Linked DNA regions of Schizosaccharomyces pombe. The protein of the gene in region 1 purifies or fractionates together with the protein of each later gene. This does not show direct contact. Each region holds a gene or a part of one and is shown in the gene's direction. Other genes may lie near its edges. The genes, in order: tea4, rga4 and tea3.

Region 1 (6,822 bases):
CCCATCTGACTTTGTTTATATGATTGTTTAGTGTTTGGAGGAAGTTAAGTGACAGTAAAAGCAAATTGCAAGGACAGTTAGCAAAACAGGGTTGCTGTGTTATCCATTTATAACGTTACTTACAGTGTACAATAAACAAACTTATAAAATCCCAAAACCTCGCAAAGCTAGTTAACGAAGTGGAGTTTCGGAGAATTAAAATGTAAACAAGACAAGTGCGAAGAGTATTTTTCCTATAGAGTGAAAATAAAAGATATTGTTCATTTAAATAAAGACTAAAATATAATTTTTAAATAAACACCCGGTTGTTTTGGACCATAGTTGATTTTGATAACTCGGCATGACCTGTGCTAGCAAATTGGCACATTCCCTCTGCACGGCTCAAATCAGACTCGCTTAGTTGATTTATTTTCATTCTTTCTAAGTGACTAACTCTGTATCAAAAGAACTACTGCTAACATCAGAAGTATCAACAGACTGTGATTTTGCGATATCGATGCCTGACTTCGCTAGACAGCACCTTATCTTGGAGTACTAGTAGCTGGCAATGAGTACTGATAATATATATTAAGCCCGACTGCTAAACCACCTTTTAAAATTTAATTTAAACCGCATCTGTAATATTTTTGGGATTAAGAATGGTAAAGAATACTAGCGTAATCATTGTTGGTGCAGGTGTGTTTGGATTATCTGCAGCTTTAGAGTTGACTAAACGTGGTGGATATACGATCAAAATCTTGGATCGAGCACCTCCGCCTGTTATCGATGGGTCTTCAGTCGATGCAAATCGTATAATTCGTTCAGACTATGCGGATGCAGTGTATTGTTCAATGGGTATTGATGCTTTAGAGGAATGGCGCACAAATCCACTTTTTAAAGAGCAATTTTATGGATCAGGACTTATGTTTGTTGGCCGTGACAATGTTGAGTATCGGGACATGAGTCTGGAAAACCTGACAAAAATGGGTGTGTCAGCAGCAAAGTTTCAAACTACAGAAGAATTGCGGAAACTTTTTCCAAAATGGATTGGCGAGCTGAATGATGGAGAAGCTGGGTATGCCAATTTTAGTTCTGGATGGGCCAACGCTGAGCAGTCTGTGAAATCCGTAGTTAATTACTTAGCACATGCCGGTGTTTCTTTCATTAGCGGACCTGAGGGAACTGTTGAAGAGCTTATAACAGAAGAAAACGTTGTTAAAGGCGTGAGGACTACTACTGGAGCTTACATGGCCGAAAAACTTATTTTTGCTACAGGTGCATGGACTGCATCTCTTTTACCTAATGACCACACACGATTCTTGGCAACCGGTCAACCAGTCGCATACATAAAATTGACTCCTGAGGAGTACATCCGCTTTTTGACAAATCCTGTATACTTAGATTTTGATACTGGATTTTATATTTTTCCCCCTACCCCCGATGGTTATCTAAAATTTGCACGCCATGGATACGGATTTACGAGAATGCAAAATCTTAAATCCGGAAAAGTCGAATCTGTTCCACCAAAGAAACCTCTCGTTTCTCCTATCCTGCCCAAGGAAGCGGAATTAGATTTACGCAGAAACCTTCAACGTACTTATGGCGAAGAAATTAGTCAAAGGCCATTTTACAAAACCCGTATTTGTTATTATACCGACACAGCCGATGCCGAGTTTGTATTTGATTATCATCCAGATTATGAAAATCTGTTTGTATGCACAGGTGGTTCAGGCCATGGATTCAAATTCTTTCCAATCCTCGGGAAGTATAGCATAGGGTGTATGTTTCGTGAGTTAGAGGAGCCCTTATTGAAGAAGTGGAGATGGAAGAAAGAAAATTTGGAGTTTGCTGCTTTAGACCACAGCCGAGCTGGACCCTCTCGACAAGAGCTAAGCTAAGATGTGCAATGCTAAACAAAAGAAAGGCTAGCGTCTATCTTTCTAGGCTACCTTATTTTTGTGTTGAATACTAATTGATTCTTCTTCATTCGAAATATTACGAGCATTGAATGTATACACATTAACAATTAACATCAACTTTATAACATCCAGACGATTATGTCGGTTTACTGTTTTCGAATAAAAACAGGGACATTTTCTATACCCTTTACATCGAACTTTATGTCCTGAATTAATATTACAAAGCATGCTAAGTAAAACCTTTTTTTCAATTATTTTAGATATGCATCATATAGCTAACTCGTTGGCTTTAAGAGAACTAAAGCGTCACAGCTTACTGAGGTTGTTTTTGATACTTAGATGCAATTCAAACATTTATAAATAATTAAATTTGACAATCTAATTAGAAATAACATAAAAAAAAAAATCAAAATAGAATAAAATGATCAAGAAGCTTTTTGTTTAAATGCAAATACCGTACTCGCTTTTATTCGTTGTATCGGTTAAACGACGTTTTACTGTTACGTTATCTGCCAATCTCGGATTTACGTAGCATCAAGTACGCATATCTTACCGCAATATTTAGAGGCGACTTAGTTTGTTAATATATTATATTTTTACACTAGTTATTGGAATGTTAACATTTTGAAGAGCAAGATCGTTTTATTTTCAAAAAGATTTTGCTGGATTCGTTGTTACGATTGACGTTCTAATCAACCCAACTTGAGTGTATGTTCATCAGGATCGGTATTTCCGTTTTCACTAGCGTTTTAGCCAGTATCCTGAATTTTTACCAGTTATAAATTGTATGAGGTTGAGAGTTTCTTATCCCTTTGCAACGTGTTTGTTTTTATCATTAGGAGTAGCGGTTTTTGAGACCTGAAAAGTGTGTTTGCTGTTTTTGCACATTTGTTCAAGTTCATGAGAGCTAACTACATTGTTTCAATATGTTACACATGAATAGTGCCAGTAGTGCTGACAGCATGGAAATTATGGAAAGTCATTTTGACCCGACACAACAGAATGATAGCACTATAATAGAAAGTCGTTACTCTCCGGAAGAATATCTGGAGCAGTCATTCGAGATACAAAGGATTATATCAGGAGAAAATAGTGAACCCCAAACTGTAGCGTCGCAAGAAATTAGCGATTCTCAAGAAGAAGACACTACATTAACATCGTCTCAATTTGAGGATTGTGGGACTGAATATAATGAAGTAGTGGAAGATGATGAGTTTCGCTCTGAAGATGAGGATGATTTTATGGACGAAGAGGAAGAATACGCTTTATATGAGGCAGAATTGAGTTCTTCCCCATCTATTCACGAAGAGGTTATTGATTGCAACTTTGTTCATGCCATTCGAGGCTTCGAAGCTACTGTTGAAGGACAAGTTGATGCTACTAAAGGAGACATGATGATTTTATTAGATGATTCTAATAGTTATTGGTGGCTTGTAAAAATGTGCAAAAATTTGGCTATAGGCTATTTACCTGCTGAATACATTGAAACTCCTTCAGAGCGTTTGGCTCGATTAAATAAATATAAAAATTCGGAAACGTCCAATTCTCAGCAGTCTGTGACTCTCCCGCCTTTAGATATTGTGGAAAAAACCTTGGAGGCTCCATCCCCAAATTTTCGTATAAAACGCGTTACCTTTACTTGTTCTTCTAATTCTTCCGATGATGAAATGGATTCTGAAAATGATTATGAGGCAATGGTAAACCGAACTGTCGCAGAGAATGGTCTTGAAATAGAATTTTCGGACAGTAGTGATTCTTCTCTCTCTGCTGAGTACCGTTCCGAATCCGAGGATCATGTAACTGATAGTCCTGCTTACGTGGATCTTACTGAACTGGAAGGTGGGTTTAACCAGTTTAACTCTACTTCTTTTCAAAGTACATCCCCCCTTGGTCTTGAGATTGTTGAAACAGAAATTAATGGCTCTTCCACTACTGCAGATTCGAAAAATTCACATTCCCCCTACTCTAAATTCTCATCAGCTTACCCAGATGCTGAAAATTCGAATATTAGTAAAATAAATATCTCAATAGCAGGAAACAAGGAATTATATGGCAATGCCACCCAGTCTGATCCTTCACTTTACAGTACTTGGATAGCAAATAAGCATAAAACTGCTTCATCTGCAACCGTTGATTCTCCATTGCGAAGATCACTATCAGTTGACGCAATGCAATCGAATGCTTCATTTTCTTCTTATTCGTCTACATCTAATACTGATAAATCATTGCGGCCTTCTTCTTATTCCGCCGTATCGGAATCCTCTAACTTTACTCATGATGTATCTCGTGATAACAAGGAAATCTCATTGAATGCACCAAAATCAATTATAGTTTCTCAGAGTGACTCTTTTGACACATCTAATGTTACTCAGGATGCCCCAAACGATGTAGAAAAGGAACCAATTTCTGGTCAAATGCCCAATAATTTATCAGTTCAATCCTTAAAACAATTAGAAGTGTACCCTATTCGACATTCGGTATCGATTGAAATGCCATCTGAAAAGCTTCTTTCCCCTCGATTATACTCTTCATCTACTCCATCCTCTCCAACAAAAGGATTCCAAAAGGATGACGAAGAAGACAGCGAAAACCGAAAGCAAGCAGATAAGGTTGAATTATCACCAAGTTCGCTTCTTCGTCAGATGTCTTTACCTGTTGATTCTTCCTCGCAAAGTGATGCACAGTGCACAACGTCTTCTGTATACATAACAGCGGAGCGTAAAGCATTTTCTCAATCTTCAATAGATTTATCAACATTGAGTAACCATCATGTAAATAACGAAATAAACAGAAGAAGTTTTGCGGGTGGATTTACAAGTTTAGCAGATGAATTAAGCGAAATGCGTGAGCTACTACACGAATCCCCGGCTCCATTGGAGTGTAATGAGGAAATGGTTATACCTACACCTGAGTTAGATGCTTCAAGTGCAATCCCGAGCTCTTCGATTTCACACGATGAGGATTTGCTACCAAGAAAGAACACAGAGGAATCTACCTCTTCTAGTTCCTTTTCCTCTCTTATCACTTCTCCTGCTTCTTTGCAATATGATGAAAATCCATTCAAGCAATCTGTGGTTGCGGAATTAAATAATAACTCCTCTTCGGTGCCATTCGTTGATTCGGCTCATGCTTCTGATATCCATGCGTACGATAACGACCACGTTAGTACTAAAAACAAAGAATTTAATCGTCGGTTGAGAGAGTTTATATTGGATCCAGACTCTCTTAGCGGGCTATATTGGAGTGTAAAATCAGCGGGAGTAAGGGCATCCCGCCGAGTTTCTCGTAATATCGAGGGTGAATCGGTGTCCTCGGACTTGGATGATATTTTTGCTAACGTATTGAAGGGTTTATCAGATGAGATGGCCTCCCTCTTAAATACGAATCGCTGAAATCTTTGATTAATTTAAAAGTTATACCATGTTTTTCCCCTTTATCAAACTATTTACACTCGTTATAAATCAGTTTTCTGTTTGATTAAACTGTTTCAAAAATTTGTTTGTTAATGTCTTTATGTTTGACTTTTTTTTCTTGTTAATAATATTTTTTAATAACTAACAGCATACCATAGTTGTATAAAGGTCTAAAATTCAATGTGCGGGTATGATTCGGATTATTGAGCGCTATAAAATAAATGTGTTTAAGTAAAATCTACCGAAGTATTAAATGAGCTAGTAATTATCTTATATGCCATTTCAAATTATAGTATCGCTGCATCATATTTTTTGTACAGTAATGCGAGCAGTGAAAATGTAAACTACTCAAGCAGATAGTAGTAGGCTTTGAGGGTATGATAGATTTTATGCATCCGTAAAAATAAGCCAGTGTACTTTACTTATGTGGCATGATGAATCAAATTCAATAGGGTATTAAAAAACAAAATTAGCACGATTTATAGCGATTCTTATTAAAAAATATTTCTCTTCTCTTTTAAACGAAAAAAATGAGATATTAACAAACGATGAACATGTTCATTAATCATTAATATGAGAATATCATCTGCTTCTACTTTTAAGGTATCGGATTCATCATCAAACCAACGGTGTATTTAAATGTATATTTTGTAAGCGATAGGCATATTGATTGTCTCATAATAAATAATTTATGTTTTTTCACTGGTAATTTTCACGCTAAATTAGATGATAATTAGCATCTTGACTACCAATTTCTCACCATCATCATAATTGAAGGGCGAAATTTTCAAATTTGACTTTTAATATTCTTTTAGTAATTGCACGAAGATATGTAAAGGAACATGGAAAAGTAAGAATGAACAATAAAATTTTTATTCCTTTACAAATTTACGACTTGTTATTAATTGGAAAGACAAAGCAATGTTATTTCTGTAACGAATTGAGTTTGTAGGAAGAAACAAAGTTCCTAAAAAGTATGCAAATATCTTCAATATGCGCTAAATAAAGAAAACAGTTCGTACAGTAAACAAAGTCAATAATTCGAAGCGACTAAATAACGAAAAATTTAGAATGAGACGGATATGAAATGCATTTTGAATTGACCCGTTTTCATTTGTACAACCACCATACATGATTATTCTCAACATTGTTTTTTATGAATGCGAAATAAGAAGTATTAGTTTAAAACATCAAGTAATTTTTTAACACGCCACCACGAGTGGACAATGTGAAGTTTACAACTTGTGCTAATTTTTTTGACTACTCAAAAAATTAAATATGCAGCACAAAACGAGAACTGAATTATATGCAAACCCTTATACACTGAGCCTTAAAATTCATGATTTTTTACTTGCAACAGAAAGTAATAAGTAGCTTAAAAAATTAGAGGAAATCTGTTAATCGTTACAGTGGATTCTCACATTAGACAATAACTACATTATTACGATAACAAATCATCGTTCTAAATCACAATATTTTATTATGCTGTTCATTATTTTGTAAACATTAAT
Region 2 (7,329 bases), 1.3 Mb from region 1:
AGAGGATTATCGGTAGTAGCTATTGCAACTTCTGTATCTTTTCAGCCAATTCTCGTTGGAAAAGCATTTTCTAGTACTGCCGGAATGAAGGCTACTGAATCAATTAATATTTATACATTACCGTTTTGCAGCGACTCAATCCCTCGGCTTCAAACCTTACCCGCCTTAAACTCAAGTAAAATAATTATTACAGGAGAAGAGGAAAAATTGCAAAGACTCGAAGAGGCGTTTTATTACGCAGAAGAACATCTAAAACTGTTTACTCACGTAACAGAAATTTCATTTGTTAAGCTTTTCGAATTTCTCGCTTACGAAATGGATGAGCTTCGGCTTATTATGGAAGAAAATTCTTCGTTTATTCGCTTTCCTGAGTATTTCAAAGAAGGAGGAGAAACGAGCCCAGAAAATTCAAAAGTCAAAATCTACTCATCTTCTATAGCGAATTCTGAAAAAACAGCACTCCGATTGGCAAAGCTTGCAAGTAAATATGTACAAGGAAAAACTCAGTTTGGAGTTGAAGACAACGAAGACTTTCTGAGAGTTGCTGGTTCTTGGAGAAGAGCGTCTACAATTGAAAAAGGAGTTTCAAGCTCTGAATTGTCCTCTATTGTATCCTCGACTGGCTCCATAGTGGAAACAAATGGAATAGGAGAAAAAATGTCATTCTCTCCTCTTAAGAAGCTAAGTATTCCACCAACAGAATTTGTAGCTCAAATTGCAATAATTTGCATGGCTTCTGGAGTCGAAATGCTCCTAAAAACCAATGGGATTGAATATTTCGGACAAGAAAACACCGTGCCTATAGCAATGGATAAAGCAAGCAAAATATTTTATAAATTTGGACAATCCCAATGGCACCAGATACTGCTTGAAGCCCCAACCAAGGATCAAGATTTCATATCCGGTAAAAAAAATGGAAAACTGGATAAGGTAAAGCAGCAATGCCGTTTCAACTTAAAGAATGGGGACATCTTGTTTTGTCCCCAGTCGACGAGTATATTCACGGTTGATATATATAGTGACGAATTGGAAAGAGTAATTAAAGGAATGAACACAATGTTGCTTGAATTTCCAGCTGAGATGCACTTTTACGTTCCAGAGGAGATTCACAAAAAACTCATTGGATTTCGAGGAGAGCAAATCCAACGTGTAACTAAACTTTATAATAGTTACATTGAATTCTCAACTACTCCTTTTGACTGTTACGGGCACAACGTGCTCATTCGCACACCATCAAAGTTCTCCGAAAATTTGTGGGCCGTCCGATCTTTATTCATTAAGACAGCTGAAGGATTAGGATACGACATCCCGAAGTATTTGTTTGCTAATTGAATTTTAAGTCAGAATCCAGTCATCGACCTGCCCATAGATCACCACACTTTCTCGTTATATTTTTTATGTCCATAACAGACACTCAAGCTGGTTATTAAATTCGGAAACTAAATTTTTTGAAAATCAAAAGTGCTCCACTGTATCAACTTTGATACACATCTTAAGTGCACAATATAATTTAATGAACGTGATCCACGCAGAATTTTGAAGCACATGACAAGTTTAAACTTTAAGCAGTTCAACGATTTGTGCAGGACGGCAACCACTGTTCGTATGCCTTTTTTATTTCTTATTTTGTTAATAAATTGTCATTGAAAACAAAAGATAAAACGTCGATAAACACAGCTAGATTGATATAATAACAACAAACATCTTTTCAGTAAAAAGAAGTAGAAACTGGCACTAACCGTTATTAATCAACTTGCTATACGCTGTGACATCTAACACTCTTTGACCAGTTAATTAGAATCGTATTTGATGAGAAAACGATATTGAGTTAATCCATCCACTTTCTTTGGAATGCATGATGATTAAATTAGTAAATTAAAGAAACAAAAAGGGATTACACAAGAGTTGTTAAACATAAAGACGTCGTTCGACTATAAAAAAAGACGTGTGAACCGTAATGCACCCTTTGCGGTTATTGGGTTTCTTCGGTTTTTTTTATACAAATTATATTACGCTTAACTGAACGAACTAATCAAGTAGCACAGAAACAAGCCACTCTTATTTTTTCTCAAGAGTCGAGCAATACTTCGTTCTCGCTGACAGGATTGCTAATAACACTAACGAAAGATGAACAGGGGGAATGTTGTATAGTTCATTTTTAGTCGTACAATAAATCTCGATAAATTTGTATAAGCAATATCATTTTAAATGTTTCAAAATCTCAAAATAATATGAAGGAAGCAACCATCACTTACACAAAGTATGAAACATAAGGAAACGATATAGAAAGAATCTGGAAAATAAGCAAATATTAATAATAGCTAGATCGAAACCTGGTGGTTTATTCGCTGCAAAGCCATAGCGGTAACAAAAGGAACAAATGCCAGTGTAGCCTTCTATATAAACAAAGGTCCTATTCTTTGACCTCCACCACAAACGGCTACGAGTTTAAAAGAGCTAGCAAATGTTGTAAAGCCTTGGTATTTTTATTTATTTTTTAATCAAGAACAAACTTTGAATAAAACCGTAAAGAGTTTTCTATCTTAGCTGCCGCTCATTTTTTGAGCTGGTGTAATTTACCTATCCATTCTCTTGGGAAACACCTTTCTTTTAATTTTCAGAATATTGATTTCCTTATGAATTCGGGTACGACACTTCATCTGGACAGACTTAGTTTGGAGACGCCATCCGAACGTACTTGTTTTTGTATTAAATGTTGGGAAGTATGTGAGGTTCAAAATTTAATCGCCGTGTCCGGAGAGCGGTCTTTTCACAAAACGAGACCCTGTCTTGAAATTGGACACTGCTCTTTTATTTTTTCCCAGCTGTAATGAACGGCATTTACTAACTTTTGCTCTAGAGTGTTCCCAGTACCTCTCAAGTTTGGTTCGGTGGGAAATGTTGGCATTCCGATTGGTATGATTGAAAATGCAAACGTTGGGATTTTTGGATCTTTTTTTTTTCTTATAGATTGAATAAAAAAATATAAAATGCTCCAAAGATTACCCTTGTTTGTGCTTCTTGTTGTTTTGATTTACTAATTAAGACGGTTTGCTAGTTTTAAATGTGTGAACTGCAACAAAAAATTAGACCCTTCCTCTGAAGATTTTTCTCAAGACGATCAAAAGCAAATATTCTGTAAATTATGTGTTGATATCTGCAACGGTTGCTCAACTCCTATTTGCGAGTTCAACGCAGTAAGCAATAGTCAAGCTAATCATCCTTGTTGCTCCAATTGTCGAGCTTTCATTAATTCAAATGCTTTTGGCAAGTTCAAAGGTCAACATTACTGCCTTCCTTGTTTGCGTAAACAAGATGAAGAGAATCAAAAGGCTGTTATGGAAAGCGCATCAGGGTTTATTCCTCTTAGGAATATCGCACAAACTGCGGAAAACACTTCTTTAACTGGTAAGTTTGTTGCTTATGTAGTATTTATTGATATTGTCTTTATGTTTCTAACTTTAATTTTAGGGCAAAACCAAGGCTTTCAAAACCCGCATTTTATAGCGTCTGATTCTCCATCCTCCGTATTATCTGGTCGAATGCAAAATACCAGCTCTCCTACAAACTCTCTCCGTCCTCAATTAAAAGTTCAAACTAATGGTTATGAAACACCTGGTGATATAAACTCCGCAAAATCTTACAAAGACATCCAAAAGGACTTCTTACTTAAACCCAAAAATTCTTTCGTTAAAACCTCTCCCTCTCCACTAGCTAATGGTCCCTCATTTCGTTCAGCTAATGCCTCTCCATTTGATTCGTGTGACTCTTTTCATTCTGGAAGTTCGATACCAATTGAACCAGTTTCTTCAAGGCAAAGCTCAGTAGTAAATAATAATAGCGTGCAGCAACCTGTTGCTTATCACGCCTTTGTTCAATCACCAACCGAAAATGGTACGCTTCCTCAACTTCCTAAAAATGAAAGCGTTGTTAATCCTCCTCCACTTCGCCGCTCTTCTACTATGAATTACAAATCTGTTTCGACAACAACATCACCATCTAAATATGGATATGTGTCTGGCAGAATAGCTCTATCTCCTATCCATTTAAGGGGTGCTCTTCGTGATGTCACAAATAAATGTAATTTAAAGGTTCCTAGAAATCGAAACAGTTTATCTAATCTTGACGAATATTACGTTAACGGATTGGAAAGCGACGAAACTCCTACAAAGGCTAGATTTCCTAGATATCCTACGGTATTTAATAAGTTAGATGACAAACGACTTAGTAGCGAACCAAACGGCTTGAAGAAAAGATTGACGAACTCTTCAAATTATGAGGCTTCCCCGCGGGCCAAAAGTTTAAATTTGTCGCAAGTTAGTTTGCATCAAGCATGTGAACCTGAATACAATCGAAGTTCTTTGGTTAGAGCAAGTGATGTGTTTACTTCAAACGTATTTGATGCTACAGAGGAAAGCGCAAATGAACTCGCCATTCGTATTTCAGAGCTTCAAGCTGAGGTTGGAACCTTATTGTTGGAAGCGACTTCGTTGGCTTCTATCATAGAGCAGCAGACTCCCGTGTCCCCCGAAGCTTTCAAGCAAGAGTTGGTTGCAGATTTAAATTATAGATTAGATTATTTACGGAAATCTTTTCAACCTGAACTGTCTACCTTACTTTTGAGGCGAGACGCTTTGTCTACGACTGTCTCTAAATTGCAAAACGCTTACAGCACTGTAATGGAAGAAACCGCATATCTGAATGTTAAGAACACAGAACTGGTAAGCCTTAACAATCAATTGGAGAGAGAATTGGCATACTTGAGGGAGCAGCAGCATAAGAAGCGAACTTCTTCCTCTTTCGGAATATTTAATAATGATAAAAAATCCAACCGAACGATTTCAACCCCGTCTCCGCGAGAATCGTTTTCGCGTCTACAAATGGTTGCATCTAGCCTTGGATTTAGACCCAAAGACAATAAAGACAAGGAGAGTGGAGGGTATAACAAACGGAACTCTAAAATAGATCTTAAGAAGTCATTTTCTAAACGGTTTCATTGGAAAAGAGATTCTCCTCACATGTCGAGTACTCCCAGTATTTCTGAAGAACATTTAGCTTCTGAAGAACAAGAGGATTTCGTTCCAGCGGTCGGTCACTGCAAACTTTGCGGTAAATACTCCAATGAGCTTAGAGCACATTATCAGGATTGCGTTAGTTCTACTATAGATCGTCAGTATCAATCTAAAAAAAGCGAATCTCCTGTTTGGGCTTTGAATCCTGACGACTTCGATCAAAACAGGCTAACACTCTTGAGAGTCCCGACGCTTATCGTTTCTTGTATAAATTTTATCGAGTCATACGGCATGGATTTTGAAGGTCTGTATCGCAAATCAGGGGCAACTTCTCAAATGAAAAAAATTGTTGCGTTACTAAGAAATGAAGATACGGTACTTGATCCAAGTGAGGATATTTCTGCTGTCACTTCTGTATTCAAGCAATATCTTCGCAACCTTCCTAATCCAATTATTACCTATGACCAATACTTTCCGTTCATCACAGCAGCAAATTGTGCCTCTTTCCAAGATAAATTAGACGGTTTTATAATGGTCATCAAAAGTCTTCCTCCAGCTCATGCTGAAATTTTGCAGCTCATTATTAGACATTTAGCAAGGGTTGCTGCATATAGTCATGCAAATCGAATGACATCCAAGAACCTTGCAGTAGTATTTTCCCCAACATTAATACGCGACCCCGATAATTCCAGAGACGTTATTGACATGACTGTTAAGAATTACAGTCTTGCGTTTTTGATAGATCATGTACATGAAGTCTTTGCCTAAATTCACACTATCCTTTAATAATTCGCTCTTTTGTTTTGCACGTTCCTTTATATTCTTTATTCGTCTTTTTTTGTTGTTTTAGTAGTTGTACCATAACTTTGGGCAGTTATATCGAGATTCCTTTTTGCATTTGCTAAGATAGTTTCATTTTTGGTCATTTTTAGATGTCATCGTGAAATCAGTGGCAGATGAGTGTTTTATGGATTTGGCGTATAGCTTCTTCATAATGCATTATCACTGCAGACTGACATCCATCGCTTTTATTTAATCATTTCCCTGTTTTAGTCTACTTGGCATTACTCACAATGCTAGGCTATGAATAAAATGCAATTGCATGTATAAAAAAGGAGAAATTTGTATTTTTTTTTAATTTTATTATGCTTTCAAGGATTTAAAGAAGCATTTTTTCCCAAGATCCCTAACTTAGGAAATGCTAGTGCAACGTATTGTGAGTAAGTGATTTTGTAGATATATCATGCCCATTATCTTAATGGAATTCTAAAAAACCAAAAGCAATTCCTATAAACAAAAATTATATACGTTATATGGTAAATTTTTTGAAGGGGGTTAAATAGAGTTTCGAACGTCTAACAAAAAACCAACTCCTGTTTTACTACCACTTTTTTTTGAGAAAAGAGGGTCTTTAAGCAGGATATTTTATTATCTATGTGAACAAAATTACGGAATTTTACTAATGGCAGATGTTATTAAACGATGCATTTTGGGCCCGACTGAAGCCGGCTGGTTCGTCGCAAAGTCTCAAATAAAAAAACCAGTTGACCAAAGACCGGTTATCCTAACCCATTGTAAGCTGCACAGCAAAATGCTAGAGCCAAAGGCGATTGTTTATAAAAAAAATTCATCTGCAATTCCTAAACGAGTTGACAACATTCTTCTTCGAAGTCAAAAGCCCAAACATATAGAATGCCTACTTGTGGACTCTAAAATCACCAAAACAAGGAGCCTTTTGAAAAGATTTGGAAGCTGTCTTGATGAAACTAGTACCATTGTACTTTTAAATCAAAGTGTTTCCTTGTGGGAGGATTGCTACAGTTTATTTCCAAAGACTGAAACCAGACCGCGAATATACCTTGGCAGGTTCCAAACTCTATTCAAATCTTTTCCATTTAATTTAATTAGTGATTCTTTCAGTTATCGTCTCAACCTTAGCAAACTTCCTCGTACACCTTTGGAGAAGTGTACGGTAGCTAGAGCCTGTAAACAGTTTCCGTTAAACCAAAGGTCCCCTTTACTTGACTTGATGGGTTCCTTTGAAAGGGACTATGTAAATTTTTCAAATTTTTCACAGATGCTTTCTGCACAGTTATGTGACTCTATGGCTTTTTTAATTCAAATTTTTCCTACTCCATTACTCAGGCAAAAAGCTGCGAATGCGTGGATCGAAGTACTTTCTAAATTACCATATTTCCATATTCTTGATAAATCATTTTTTTCTCCCCACTTGTTACTTCAAAGCTCTGAAAATCAAGCATGCAAATTTTTTAATATTGGTCCTCAAGTTTATTTCGATCCTAGGGAAAGATTGCTT
Region 3 (7,124 bases), on another chromosome or scaffold:
CCACAGCACAACACTTTGAATTCCAATTGCCGAGCCAATATCCGGAATTTTATTTAAATATCGGAATTATTTTGTTTTAAATAGTTCATAAACAGTAATTTGTTTGTATTGTCATTATCGCGGGGTTGACTCCTTCATTGACCATTTTGTGTTGAATTCAGCGTTTGCACCGTTACTATGAGCCAAGTGAAAGTCGCGGTGAGAAGTGAGGAAGCAGCTAATTCTTATACGCAAACGTTTGGCATGTCCTGGAGGCAATGGCGTCAAGCATGCTCTGAAGAATATGCGAAACAATGTGAGCGTGAAGTCCTGCACACTGTCGATTTTATTCGGGAAAATGAAAAGGACCCAGAAAGGTTAGTTGAAGTTGTAGATTCCAAAATCTACGATAATGATGGATTGGTACATGAGGTTTGTGTTAGTGATAAAGCAACAGGAAAAGCGAACAAGCGAAGCATTGTTTACATGCATGGGTATGGAGCTGGTCTTGGTTTTTACTTTCGGAACATGGATGGTTTGACTAAGGGTGTGACAAAGGATTTTAATTCTTATTTTGTTGATTGGCTAGGCATGGGAAACTCGTCAAGACCGCCTTTCGATATCAAGGGGCAAACCGCTTCAGAGAAGGTCGAAGAAACAGAGAGGTTTTTCACTGAGTCATTAGAAACATGGAGAATCGGTCATGGTATCGAGAAAATGATCCTTGTGGGCCATAGTATGGGAGGTTATTTGTCTGCTGTCTACGCCATGCAATATCCGGAACGTGTTGAGAAACTCTTACTAGTTAGTCCAGTTGCCATTCCTGAAAACCCTTTTGCAAGCAACGATGATGCGGAAGTTTACAATTCCGTTGCTTCCTCTGCTGTGCATGCTGTTATGGATGAACCTCCTTTAAGTAATGTTACTAATGAGGTTCTGCAAACCCAAGAGGAAACTACAGGTTTAGAGCCTTCCCGGCCAAGCAAGCCAAAGAATCCTCTTCCAAGATTTATCACCTTCTTATGGGAGCAAAATGTTACACCATTTTCTCTACTTCGTTTAAGCGGGCCTTTAGGTCCTAAACTAATGAGTTTTTGGTCTAGCAGAAGGTTTTCAACGCTTCCCCCGGAAACGTTTAGGGCATTACATAATTACTGCTACTCAATATTTCGTCTCAAGGGTTCCAGCGAGTATGCACTTGGCAATTTGCTCGCTCCCGGAGCTTTCGCTAGACGATGTATTATGAATCGCTTGCGCATGTTGAAGTGTCGAACTATATTCATGTATGGAGATAAAGATTGGATGGATGATGTTGCTGGTTTAGAAGCGACAAACAGATTGAAGGAGATGAATATTGAGGCGGAGCACCACATAATTTCAAATGCTGGTCACCATTGCTATCTTGATAACCCTGAAGATTTTAATGAGATTGTACTAAAGGAGATACGAATGAGTTTACGTTCTTTTTCTTCGATTTCAGAGTAAATTTTTATTTTTTATGCCCTTCGCTTAGTGCTTCATTATTTTTATTTATTCTTTCTTGTCCTGCAAACTATCCCATGTGATGCTGTTATAGACCTCATTCATTAATTTATACTACACATTATTCTTTGGATTCCAATTGAACGACTTTTTTTTACCTAACTTTTTATCGGTCCATTTTGAATCGATTTTTATTGCATTGACGCTCATTTGCTTCATTTATCGCAATTTTATTTTTTTGTCCGATTACTTGTCCAGCATGTGTTTTCAAATGTTTTATTTTTAAAATGTGCCTTATAAATCAAATTTTGTAATATTTGTAGGCCATTTACTACAATTAGCTTATAAAGTAAATAACAGTTTTTGTGGTTGTCTATTTTAAATTCTATCCTATAGAGTAATTGGAAAAATACATTTTTCTTGCTCTAAGCTTTTCAAACGTGAAGCATATTTCGTACTTCTAAATTTCAATTCAAACAGAGCATTCAACGGTAATGTATACTATTGCGCTTAAACTTGTATCTACTCTCCCTTCTTTATGTTTAATGAAGATATAAATTATAAACATCATACAGTATTACAAAAATTTATTGTAGGGTATTGCAATTGTATTCGTTGTTCTAAGACTTCTCTACTCTAAGTTGCCGTTTCCTGATGGACTGTGTGTTTCCATTACCCTCCACAAGTTATGCTCTTTTCATATTATTTCGAAAATTTTACTTTTTAATTCTTTTTTAAAACTAAAATATATATTTTTTCTATTTTATTTCTTTTTTAAGCGTAAAAACCGAACCTTTTAAAAAACTCCTTGGATTAAACTTTCGCTTTGATTACCATCTGCAACTGCAAAACCAGTAAGCGATTTTGCAAGGTAAAGATCGCAATACATGGTTCAAAAGGTTTTAAGCCGTCAATCGGATAACTCTCAGGATGTGTCTGCTGAACAGCTTGATGTAGTGGAATCCGGTAGCATTGATCAGCAAAATATACGTGCATGGGTTGTTCGCAAAGTCAAAGAAAATGATAAAAGGACATCTACGAACCAAAGTTTTAAATGGGAAGCTGTAAAACCGGCTTCTTGTCTAGATGCTGCGAATGAAAAATTCATGTACTTACATGGAGGACGAGAAAAATCTGGTATTTCAAACTCTTTGTTTAAGTTGGACCTGGATTCATGCACGGTTTATTCTCACAATAGAGGGGAAGACAATGATTCTCCTGCTCGAGTTGGTCATTCTATCGTTTGTTCTGCTGACACTATTTATCTTTTCGGAGGATGCGACTCAGAAACAGATTCCACATTTGAAGTTGGCGATAATTCATTGTACGCATACAATTTCAAGAGTAATCAATGGAATTTGGTTTCAACACAGTCCCCCTTACCATCGCCTCGCACTGGACATTCTATGTTGTTAGTTGACTCTAAATTATGGATATTTGGGGGTGAATGTCAAGGAAAATATTTGAATGATATACATTTGTTTGATACCAAAGGGGTTGATCGGAGGACGCAATCAGAACTCAAGCAAAAGGCAAATGCAAATAATGTTGAAAAGGCTAATATGGAATTTGATGAGACTGATTGGTCATGGGAAACACCGTTTTTGCATAGCTCATCCCCTCCACCTCGTTCAAATCACTCAGTTACTCTTGTCCAAGGAAAAATATTTGTACATGGAGGGCATAATGATACTGGTCCATTAAGTGATCTTTGGCTTTTTGATTTAGAAACACTTTCATGGACCGAGGTTCGTTCTATAGGAAGATTTCCAGGTCCGCGGGAAGGTCATCAAGCTACTACAATAGATGACACGGTTTACATTTATGGTGGTCGTGATAATAAAGGGTTGATACTCAACGAGCTTTGGGCTTTTAATTATAGTCAACAGCGGTGGTCCTTAGTCTCAAATCCGATCCCTATTTTGCTTTCTGATTCATCTTCATACAAAATTGTTTCAAAAAACAATCATATTTTACTATTATATCTTAATGCACTTGACGCTCCTAAGCAACTGTTATGTTATGAAGCAGATCCCAAAAATTTGTATTGGGATAAGGATAAATTTTCTGATATTCCTGTTCTTCAGCATATTAGCATGAAACCTTCAAATGCTTCAAACCACACGGTTTCTCTTGGTTACCTAAACGACCGTCCTAATCATTCCAAAAAGAATTCTGTGACATCCACCTCGTCTAGTCAATTTAACAATTTTTTGGAGCAAAATCAAAAAGCCGTAAGATCAGCTAGGCATCGGCACTATGCTAGCTTGGATGAACAAGGATTACATTCTTTGAGAAACCTTAGTAAAACCTCTGGAATGAATCATTCAGCAGATTTCTCTCTTCACGAGTTTGGGCAAGCTGACCCCTTTGCTTACGAAATTGAGAAACCTATTGCGTCTCTTCCTTTACCTAATGGAAACGATACTATTTCTAGGTCTTCCGAATCTTCATCTCCAATCAACGAAAGTGAAAGTAATTCTCTGCTTAAACTCCAATCAGATTTTAAGTTTTCTAATTCTGATGATCGTGTAGCTTGGCTTGAGGAGCAACTGTTATATTGTATGCAACAAGGCTATACTCTCAAACCTCCTAACCTGTTTCAACACGTTGATGAAAAATTGAGGCTTGAGAAAAAAGAGCAGCTCAGTTATTTGGAAATACTGAAGGTGATTGAGCAAATGCTTGAATCTAATGAACAAAAGTTTAAAAAGCAAATCGTTAGCCTAGCATCTGAAAACGCAAAATTGGCTGCTCAGAGAGATGCTGCCGTGGAAAATGCAAATTATTCACGTTCACTGATCCAGAAAAAGACAACGGACGAAACTGTTGGATCTTTAATAGAAAAAGTTGGAAAGTTAGAGTACGAAGTTCAAGGGACTCTTGAAGAGGCAACCTCTTATTATCAAAAAAATACTGAACTTCAACAGTTATTGAAGCAAAATGAATCCGCTTCTGAACTCTTAAAATCTCGAAATGAGAAACTTTGTGTAGATTATGATAAACTTCGTAGTGTGTTTGAAGAAGATTCATCAAAAATACTATCTTTACAAAAAGAAAATGAAAACCTACAATCACAGATATTGCAAATTTCAGAAGAGTTAGTCGATTATCGTTCTCGTTGCGAGGCTTTGGAGTATGGAAATTATGAGCTGGAAACGAAGCTAATTGAGATGCATGATCGAGTGGAGATGCAGACAAATGTGATTGAAGCATCCGCTAGTGCTCTTGATGTGTCCAATACTGCCATATTGTCTTTTGAAGATTCGCTCCGTAGAGAAAGGGATGAGAAAAGTACGTTGCAACAGAAGTGCTTAAATTTACAGTACGAATATGAGAATGTTCGGATTGAGTTGGAAAATTTGCAATCTCGTGCGCTAGAGTTGGAGTCAGCCTTAGAACAATCAGTGTCTGATGCTAAATACTCGAAAGCTATAATGCAAAGCGGATTATCAAAGTTATTATCTTCTATTAACGAAAATAAAGATAATCTTAAAGAGTTTTCGAAGTCGAAACAAAAGATCTCCTACTTGGAGTCTCAGCTAGAAGGGCTTCACGAGTTGTTACGTGAGTCCCAGAGACTTTGTGAGGGTCGCACTAAAGAGCTACTAAATTCTCAGCAAAAGCTCTATGATCTAAAGCATTCATATTCCTCTGTAATGACAGAGAAAAGTAAACTTTCTGATCAGGTCAATGATCTTACCGAGCAAGCAAAAATTACTCAGCGTAAGCTCTCTGAGGTACAAATTGCATTGGCTGATTCAAAAATGAATCAACAGTTATCAGGAAAGGACTCTACTGACGTTCATCTTCCTACGGACTTTTCAGCTTCCTCCTCTCCCTTAAGATCATACTTTAACGAAGAGGATTCATTCAATAATGCTAGTGCTGCACATAGTTCAAAAGAATCTGACATACCTTCTGGTGGTGTGTTTACAAAATATCGTAATCATTTTGGTAATTTGATGACATCTGAAGAAACAAAAGCCCCGGATAACAATGATTTACATAAAAGACTTTCTGATGTTATCAACAGTCAGCAAAAATTTTTGTCTTTGTCCCCTCAGGTATCTAAAGATTATTATGATGTTCGCTCAAAACTAAATGATACCGCGGGCTCATTTTCAGGTGAAGAAATGCGTGCAATTGATGATAATTACTATGCCAGTCGTATTAAGCAACTGGAGGATGATTATCAAAAAGCCATAACATATGCCAATTGCTCAGATGAGTCATTTCAGCAGCTTAGTCATTCATTTATGTAACTCTATTCATCAACTAAGGATTTTTTATCTCTTTTTTGGTTTGTACAATTTTCTTAATAATTTTTTGAAGTGGTTTGATTTTTTCTACTTAATCTCAAGTCGTTTGACTACGTATGTAAATTACCACTATATTTAACAATAAAATACGCAATTATTTCTACTGCATTTACATTGACTCATTTATATTTTAAAAAGTAATGAAATTTAATTAACTTTTAAAAAGTAAGAGAAAATTTAAAGTATTAGATTGATGAGGATACTCTCAAGTGCAAATTACTAAACTGGTATTAAATGCTAATTCCTTAACCACGCGAACAAAGCATATGATGAATTACGTAGAAATAATTAAAACAAACAAAGACCTGCAAAAAACCATTAAAGATTCATCCATTTTTTTCAAGGGTCAAATTTGAAGTTTGCTCTGCAGTATGCGAAGACTGCTCAGAGACATTAGTAGGGCCTAGCAGTTCCGTCCAACTCAAAAACGTAGGAGCCGTCCATTGTTTATCAACTTCCAAATTGAGAACTGGATCCGGTAGAAAAGTTTCAGGTGTGAGCAAACTGGGTTGGTTACTAACATAACTTTTGTTTAGACCCGGAACATTATAGAGAGATGATGTTTGGTCAAAAGGTTGGAATGCTTCGTTTGGAGTACTATTACTACCATTTGAGCTTTCTCCTGTAAGCTTAAAGGTAGAAAGCATGTCTCCATGTGACATATCTCCCACCCAGGATTGCCAATTTTGAAAACTATTTTGGAAATCTGCAATCGGATTATTAATGTCTGGGGCATTGCGCCTAGATAACTGTTTGTTAAATGACTTAAGGTAGTTTAGACTTTCTCTAGCAAATTCACACCTTGAACTCAGAAATTCCAATACCTGCCATAATTTTGTGACTACAGCTTGAATATCCTGAGAGTTTTCGTAATGAAGAGACAAGAGTAAAATAGGTGCGCTTGCAAATGGAACATGCAGCCCGAAAAACGATAAGCTGGACAAACACTTATGTGTTAATAAAAGATGTGCTATGTTTATGACCCTTGTTGCGCTTTCAACACATAGCTGGATGTAGCGACGATTTTCAGCAGTTAAATCTTTATCTTTTAATTTCTTTACCATAATAACTCTCGTAGTAAGCATAATCGCATTATCATATATCATTTGAACATGTGCATTTGACCGGAAGAGTGGATGCTGAACAGCCGATTCATCAAAAACCACAGAAGAATGTAAATCACTTTTCCAAAGCTCTAGACGAGCATAAATCCTACGGACAGAATTAACTTGCGATTCAAAGCTTGGAGAAGGGTTCCAGTACAGCGAATCGCAAATCTCATTTGTTAACTTAGCCAAGTTAATAACGGCACGCATGTTTTCGACGATAGACTGAGAACCC

What was found.
Region 2: the proteins of tea4 (region 1) and rga4 purify together in Schizosaccharomyces pombe (affinity purification with western blotting, with the first as the bait; one study listed by BioGRID). This does not show direct contact.
Region 3: the proteins of tea4 (region 1) and tea3 purify together in Schizosaccharomyces pombe (affinity purification with western blotting, with the first as the bait; one study listed by BioGRID). This does not show direct contact.

Annotation. Positions count from the first base shown.
Region 1 is NC_003423.3:585,905-592,726, forward strand, and holds tea4 (tip elongation aberrant protein Tea4), read left to right. Parts: upstream 1-2,454; 5' UTR 2,455-2,824; coding exon 2,825-5,290; 3' UTR 5,291-5,530; downstream 5,531-6,822. Other genes in the region: protein Vac8, read right to left, coding at 1-5; fap1 (L-pipecolate oxidase), read left to right, coding at 639-1,877. UniProt on the Schizosaccharomyces pombe protein: Cell polarity factor essential for the bipolar localization and function of structures containing the cell-end marker tea1 during the normal cell cycle.
Region 2 is NC_003423.3:1,836,987-1,844,315, forward strand, and holds rga4 (Rho-type GTPase-activating protein Rga4), read left to right. Parts: upstream 1-2,429; 5' UTR 2,430-2,636; coding exon 2,637-2,723; exon of another isoform or gene 2,724-2,860; coding exon 2,861-2,916; exon of another isoform or gene 2,917-3,058; coding exon 3,059-3,408; exon of another isoform or gene 3,409-3,471; coding exon 3,472-5,780; 3' UTR 5,781-6,201; downstream 6,202-7,329. Other genes in the region: SPOM_SPBC28E12.02 (BICC1 family RNA-binding protein), read left to right, coding at 1-1,332; protein Cbp7, read left to right, coding at 6,475-7,329. UniProt on the Schizosaccharomyces pombe protein: GTPase-activating protein for Rho-type proteins.
Region 3 is NC_003424.3:3,213,292-3,220,415, reverse strand, and holds tea3 (cell end marker Tea3), read left to right. Parts: upstream 1-2,142; 5' UTR 2,143-2,348; coding exon 2,349-5,726; 3' UTR 5,727-5,903; downstream 5,904-7,124. Other genes in the region: cardiolipin-specific phospholipase Cld1, read left to right, coding at 178-1,464; DNA-binding transcription factor Thi1, read right to left, coding at 6,110-7,124. UniProt on the Schizosaccharomyces pombe protein: Acts as a cell end marker required for efficient new end take-off (NETO), whereby growth is activated at the cell end to generate bipolarity in extending cells. Also required for proper placement of the septum.